Mus musculus: one gene and its partner. The protein of the gene in region 1 interacts with the protein of each later gene in a pairwise test. Links are inferred from orthologs where the notes say so. Each region holds a gene or a part of one and is shown on either strand. Other genes may lie near its edges.

Region 1 (3,745 bases):
AAGCCGTTTCAAAGCGACTCAAGGGACTGGAAAGGGCCTAGGAGGCAGCTGTTTCCTTCTTAGAGGGAAGTTCAGCCAGGATGATGAGGAGATGGAGCTGAGAGAATATGCTATATAGAACAGGGGAGAGGTGACATGTAGGGGTAGACAGAGGTACAGGAACAATGCATCTAGAGACAGGAAACAAATAGCAAGAATCTGGAGTCAGAGACTGAAGACTTTTGATCTGATGCTTTTAGGGGCAAGTACTGAAGACAGTGGGTCATGTCTCTTCCTCCCCTGACTGAAGACAAGTCAAGTGTGGGGTACTCACTGGGAGAGGACAGGAATGTGGGGGGAAGGGGTCAGAAAGATGCTGATCAACCCCATCCCCCATCCCATGGATGCCTTGAGATGGGTGTAAAGTGGGAGAAGCCAGAGGAGCAGAGAGCAGATACAAATGCCCTACCCAGGTGGCCTGATGCAGTGCATGAAGCCGACCCTGCAGGCCAGGGGGTGAAGCTGGGAGGACCATCCTCTGTGGGTGCTCGTACCAAGCTGAGACCATGACGGGCAGAGGATTCTAGGAGAGATCAGCTCAGTCAAGGAGGTGGGGGAGCATATTTCTGTGCTATCAGGAAGGGAAGTTGGAGCGGCAGCCTGGAGAAAGAGGAAGGGTGTGTGCTAGGTCCCCAAGAGGAAAAGGCAGCTGAATTTAGCAGCTGGAAACCCGGGTGTGAGGTCAGGAGTATCAAGGAATCTCAAACAAGCCCAGGGTTCTAGGCCAAGAGACAAGTGCATCATCTCCTTACACAGGTGTTAGGTCTGGGGTCCTGGGACCTCTAGTGACCTGGAAATCATGCAGTAGAGCTATGGGCTAGGTCAGACCTTGGCTCCGCCACCTAGAAGAATTAATTACCTGCTCTTTGCCTTATCATCTTCATGTATCAAGTGGTGAAAACTGTACTTCTCAGGGCTGACATCAGAAAATACACATATGAAGTATGGACACAGGCAAAGGGCCCAAGATGCTGCTATCTCTTGGTAAACTGTCCCATTGGTGGGTGAATGCGGAAGCTGTTTGGGGGAGGGGCATGTGCTTCTCTGGGTTTAGCTAAGGATGGTAGATCTGCCTTCCTCCTGTCTTAAACCAGAGACAGGGCAAAGACTCACTCTCTCTCTCTCTCTCTCTCTCTCTCTCTCTCTCTGTGTGTGTGTGTGTGTGTGTGTGTGTGTGTGTGTGTGTAGACCTCATAGTCACCTATACACCACTGCAGGGGATAGCTTAGTTCTCCTGGGTGAGCATTTGGGGGAGGGGGCATGGCTAGACTGGGTTAGGGTATCCCTGGCACACACATGTTCTGGTGCATCCAGATTTCAAATTTTCTGCTCTCTGGTACCCATACAGACAGCAGAACTTACCATCCCCAAACCCTGAAGTCCAACCACTCCAATACACAAAACCATTCTGGGACTGCATTCCTAGCAAATGACTCTCTCTAGCCAAGGAGACTGCCCCTTTATGAAGGGCATGGGGAATAAGTCCTACCAGACTAGGAAGGGCATTTACCCAGTCTGGGGCAGAAGGACACTAAGGAAGGTGAAGCTAGGGGTAGTCCCAAGGCCCAAGCTTGAGAAATGCATTAAAGTGTGTGTGTATGTTTTGGAAGGGTGACAAATACTACTTAAGAATTTAAATCCAGCTTCCTCTTTAAAATGTCTCAGGACCCGGCCTTTCACTGTGTCAGCCAGAGTTCTCCTGTTACTTGCAGTGGAAAGGCTGAGGGGACAGACAGCTTCTGGGCTCCCCTCCCTGCAGGGATTCCTCAGCCGCAGCTGTCAATGACTTGATCCCTCTCAGCTTGAGAGGGTATTTCTGAGGCCCTCCCTCCTAACCTAGGGGCTGCCGCACCCCACCTCGGGCCTTGCCCGGGGGATGGGGGAGAACTACTCGGGGGACACAGAGGGAGGGCCCAAACAGTAGCCTTCCTGGAAGCGACCCTTGCAGGGGGAGGGGGTTCACTGGTTGACCCGCAGCTCCCAGGTAGGCACTGCACATTCCCCCTCCAAGGAGTCGGTCTTGGTGGCGCTACCCCAGAGGCTGTGCCACCCTCACGCCCAGGTCTCTGCAAGATCCTCCGGTTGGACCAATACAGTGGGAGCCCCGCGCTCAGCCGGGTCTCTTGGGGCCTGATCGCAACACCCACCGGGTCGGGGAAAGAGGGGGTCCTCAGGCAGGGCGGGCGCGGCGCCCAGCAGGAGCGCCGGGAGGAGCCCGTCCCATTCCACCCCCAGCCTGCCGGGACCCGACTCACCGGCCTAGCGGAGACAGGATCCCAGCGCCGCCACCGCAGCGCCCCGGGCTCGGCCCGCTCCGGCCGGCTCCGGCCCGCCCGCCCGCGCGAGGCAGCTCCACGCCGCCGCCGCTGCCTCCTTGGCCCGCCCCGTGCCCGCCCCTCCCGCACTTTCCACAGGAAATGATTAACTCAGGCCGCGGCGCGTTCCCATGGTAACGGGCTCGGGAGGGGGGCACGCGCACTCTCGCGCACGCGCCCACCCCAGGCGCATGCCTCCCCTCTTATCCTACCCATCCACCCGACACAGGCTGGTACACCCTTGTGCGCACACCCACTGGTGCACGAGCCCAGGCGCACCTTGCCTGCCCCTTCCGAGCTGGCTCACACCCTCCACTGCACACCGCGTACCTGCACACTCGCCCTCACCCATTACTCCTACCCAGGAGTTAACGTTAACACTCACCCTCAAAACGGTTTGTACTCCACCCCAAACCCAGGTGCAGAAGTTTCACGCACGCCAGCTAGGATCCACACACAACTGGCACACACACACACACAGACTCACATCTTAATACATTTCCTCACACAAGCTCTTGCACGCGAGATCGAGCACACGCATACCACACGTTCACCTGCTCTGTTACACAGGCGTGCACCCTCTCTCTGTGCCCAGCCTGGCATCCTGCCTTGCCAGCTGCACCCCTGCACCCCCAACCAATAAATATTTTCTTGAGCAGCAGGCTTGGGGTTTGTTAAGGTAACGCATTCCCTTAAGCTCCGGCAAAACAGCTCCACCGTCTGTCTTTAAAAGCTCCTTCCTGGGGCGTCTAGGAGCCACTGAAGAGGCCTGGGGGAGAGAAGGCTCAGGCAGCCAAGAGAGACTGCTGACCCAAAGGAGCCACTCTGTTCTTTGTCTCCCAAACAGAGAGGCATTTATTCCAGCCCCAGTATGCCCACTCCGGAGTGCGGAAGGAGAATGTGCCACAGGAGCCTGTCCCGCAGAGGCTGATGGTCCCCAGATAACCTGAGGAGGGTGAGGGTCTACCCCTTCAGGCTTGCCAGAAATGGCCTAGGAGAGACCTAGGGAGGGCCTTGCTGCCTCCTCTGGGCCTGCTTCCCGCTTCCGCTGCTGAGCCACGTGTCAAGAATCTGGAGCAAAAACAGAGACAAGGACTTAGGCCCCACAGGGTGCCTGGTGCCAGGCCAGGCCTGGCCAGTAGGCCCCCAGCTGGAAGCAAGCACTGTCTCATCTATTGAAGGCTCTATTCGAGGGGAAGGGGTGTGTCCTGCATTTAAGTTTGCATATAAAAGGAGAAACCTTGTCTTCCTTAAGGATTGGGACACTGACATAAACTTCAGTTTCCTTCTAGCAAAGCCAAAGTCAGGTTTTGTTTTGTTTTGTTTTAACTAATAAAAACATTTATTGTTCTCTTTTCTCCAATTAGAAAAGTAATGGATGTTCCTTGTGA
Region 2 (3,682 bases), on another chromosome or scaffold:
CCTTCTTCCTCCTCAGCGCCTTCCTCTTCCTCTCCCTCCTCTTTCTCCTTCTCCTCCTCTTCTGCTTCTCCTTCAGAGGGGGGCTCATCCTTGGCCTCCTCAGCTTTCGTAGCCTCAATGGTCTCCTCGACCTCTGTCTGCTCTTCCTGGACGTGGCTGGTATAGTAGGCTGGGAAAGAGCGAGCAGACATCAAGTAGGAGCTGCTCTGCAAGCCACTGTAAGCAGAACGGCCGAAGACCTGCGAGCTCTGAGAGTAGCCGCTGGTTATGCTACCCACGCTGGTGAAACTGAGCCTGGTCTCTTCGCCTTCCAAGAGTTTTCTGGTGGAGAGGGAATGAAGAGTACAGTTAGAGCAAGGCTGGATGTGTTCATTGCTCTAAGCCCACATTCATTACTTTCCTCTACAACCAACCTCAAAGGCAAATACAAGAACAAATACGGTTAGGCATAATCAAAATTTAATAAGGAGTTCACGAGAGACCCCACCCAAAAAGACCTTCTATGCATCCCTATTAGGTTTAAAATATGAATGCTAAGAACAGGGCTTATGTTACTTCAGGGTTAATTCCCTACACATTTGTACCCTCTTGGAGGAAGACCAAAGTAGGACTATTCTAGAGCACGTGGGACTCACTATAACTGCACTGACTGGGTCATCTGCTCTGTCCTGAGCCGCCATGCCCACTGCCAGCACCACCCTGATGTTACCTGTAAGCTGCAATCTCGATGTCCAAGGCCATCTTGACATTGAGGAGGTCCTGGTACTCCTTCAGGTACCTGGCCATCTCGCTCTTCGTGCTTCTCAGCTCATTCTCCAGTTTGTTGATTGTGTCCTGTAGGAAGATTGTTTTAAAAAATTCAAAACACAAATCTCTACTGCATTTGTTTTACTGTAGTATCCATGATAAGTTCTGGTCTTAGTTAACTCCAAAGTGTACACCTTCCAGAAATCTCCCTTAAAATAATGGGGTGGGGTGGGGCATAGGGGGAGGGGTTGGCCTAAAATGCCCAGTCTAGTGAAGCAAGAGAAGGAGAGGAGGAAGAGGAGGGGAGTAGACTGATGTGAACAATTTTGAAAATTGTTCTCAATTGATTATGGTAAGCTGTCTTTTAAAACTACCAAATTGATGATGATATTATTATTATTATTAACCACCCTTGTCACATTTCTTTTAGCCAGGTCGCATTTGGGAAGGGGAATATATATATAGTGTGTGTGTGTTTGTCTAAATAAATATATAAATAAAAATTAAATTATATATATTTGTGTAGCTGTTTGTCTAAAATGCTTCCCCCCGCCAAAGATGAAGAACTTTTTTTTTAATGGACTGCAGTGATTAATTGCTAAAATATTGTGACTGTATTCTTGTGTCCCTATTAAAAAAAAAAACTATCCCAAGGCTGGGTGGCCCAAAACTAGTGAGAGCTAGCAGGCATATTTATTAACCAGGAGATCCAGGAAGTACTGAGGGTAACTTGGGAGTTAAGGGTTGTCAGTAAAGAGAAGGCATTACTTGGCAACGCCCAACTCCGACTCCCTCCGCCCCTTCCTCCCAACTCACCCCTAACAACCCTGATTCAACCAGAACAAGCAATCCCCAGGCAGCAGTCGCGCCCCGCCCCCTCCAAATGCCCCATCCTTTCCACAACCTCTCGGAAGCCAAGCCCTCTGATAGCTGCTCTGTGCTCTAGAACCCCCTAGCGTTCACTCTCTGGGTACACCCTGACTCCCCCCCCCCCCGCCGCCGCCCCTACCGTGGACCTCCCCACCCCCACTGAGCTTAAACCGTACTATACCTGCATGGCGCTAATGTCTGCATTCTGCTTGTCCTCTAGCTCCTGCAGCTGCTTCTCCAGAGCTTCGTTCATACCCCGGCAGGCTTCGATCTCCAGGGTCTTAGCCTTGAGCAGGCGGCGGCTTTCCGACACCTCGTCCTTGGCAGCGCGCACAGCGTCGGTGTTCTTGGCGGCGCTCTCGGTTAGCACGGTGAAGCGGCTCTTGAACCACTCTTCGGCGTTCTGCATGTTCTTGGCGGCCAGCTTCTCGTACTGAGCGCGGATGTCCTTGAGAGCGGCGGAGAGGTCGGGCTTGGAGGACACGTCCATCTCCACGGAGATCTGAGCATACTGGATCTGAGCCTGCAGCTCGGCGATCTCTTCCTCGTGCACCTTCTTCAGGAAAGCTATCTCGTCCATCAGGCTGTCGATGCGCTTCTCCAGCTCGGCGCGGGCGAGCGCGGCCTCATCCGCACCTTTGCGCGCTTCCATCAGCCGGCCCTCGGCGTCCTCGCGGCTCAGCACTTCTTCCTCATAGCGAGCCTGCAGGTTGCGCAGAGTCTCCTCCAGCCCCTCGCGCTCGCCCTGCAGCGCCTGCTTCTCGTTAGTGGCGTCTTCCGCTGCCAGCCGCAGATCGCGGATCTCCTGCTCGTACAGGGCGCGGAAGCGGGAAGGCTCAGAGTGTTTCTGGCGCAGCACCAACAGCTCGGCTTCCAGGACCTTGTTCTGCTGCTCCAGCTCGTGCACGCGCTCGATGAAGCTGGCGAAGCGATCGTTGAGGTCCTGCAGCTGTGCCTTCTCTTGTGTGCGGATAGACTTGAGGTCGTTGCTGATGGCGGCTACCTGGCTCAGATCGAGATTCTCCAGGCTGGGCATCAAAGAGCCAGAGCTGGACGAGTAGCTGCGGCGCACGGACAGCGAGGAGGAGACCGGCGCGGAGTAGCTGGAGTACGCGGAGCGCGCCGTGCTGTAGCCGCTGCGCACGCTGGAGATGTGCACCCGGGGCGTCTCCACATAGCGCCGCTTGTAGGAGGTCGAAAAGTACGGATCGTAGCCGAACGAACTCATGGTGGCGGCCGGTGCGCCCCTCAGGCCCGGGGCGGAGATGGGGGACCTAGAGAGAAGAACGGGGGAGAAGAGGGAAAGGGGAGGATGGATGGCTGTGTGCGGCTCGGCGCGGTCCTGCCACCTCTATTTATACGCCGGGACTCTGACGCAGACTGTGATCGATCGCCGTGCGCAGGCCAGTGGGGGCAGCGCGTTGCTGCAGCCAAGGGGAGGATTCTGCGCAAAAGCAAAGGCGGGGGCGAACGACAGAAGGCTAGCGAGCTGCGGCTCCAGCCTGGCCGCTTTTCTATGAGGACCCCTACTTTCTCTGAGACCCCCATAACTTCCCTGCTTATTCTTTTCCTTTCCTATTCCCCCGTCCCATCCTGCCTCTTAATACCTAAAGCCCACATCACTAGGACTCTTAAATGTTCCAAATAAAAAGGTTCGCGATCCCTACTGACACATCAACTTTTAACATCCAATGTCACAAAGACACCTTCACCCCACCCCACCCCACCCCACCCCACTCCCAGCTTTCCCTTTTTGCCTCAGGGACCCTCTCAAGCACCCTGATTCGTGTTTAAGCAGCACGTTTGGGTTGCTGACAATAGCTAATGTTCTTGCGGCATTACTGCAGGAAAAGTTTTGCATGTCTTTGTAGCTATTTTCTGACGTTTTCTTAAATTCGCCCCACTTTCTCCTGCCTCCTTTTATTTTTATTTCTATTTCTTTCCGTATTACTCTTCTTCTCAATACATAGGGAAATTGCACCACTACACACCATTGGAACCGCAGGACAGCGGGTGTTCATTTTGGCATTTTAAAACCTTTACAGCAGTTAATTTGTCTGACACC

The links. The genes of interacting proteins can lie anywhere in the genome.
Region 2: the proteins of Kifc3 (region 1) and Nefl interact in binary tests that used the Homo sapiens proteins (3 or more experiments, as listed by UniProt). The two-hybrid records come from large-scale screens. The link is inferred for Mus musculus from reciprocal best matches to the Homo sapiens genes KIFC3 and NEFL.

What each region holds. Positions count from the first base shown.
Region 1 is NC_000074.6:95,140,138-95,143,882, forward strand, and holds the start of Kifc3 (kinesin-like protein KIFC3), read right to left. Parts: upstream 2,421-3,745; 5' UTR 2,295-2,420; intron 1,183-2,294; exon of another isoform or gene 449-1,182; intron 1-448. UniProt on the Homo sapiens protein: Minus-end microtubule-dependent motor protein. Involved in apically targeted transport. Required for zonula adherens maintenance.
Region 2 is NC_000080.6:68,083,126-68,086,807, reverse strand, and holds the start of Nefl (neurofilament light polypeptide), read right to left. Parts: upstream 2,946-3,682; 5' UTR 2,846-2,945; coding exon 1,799-2,845; intron 835-1,798; coding exon 710-834; intron 322-709; coding exon 2-321; intron 1-1. UniProt on the Homo sapiens protein: Neurofilaments usually contain three intermediate filament proteins: NEFL, NEFM, and NEFH which are involved in the maintenance of neuronal caliber.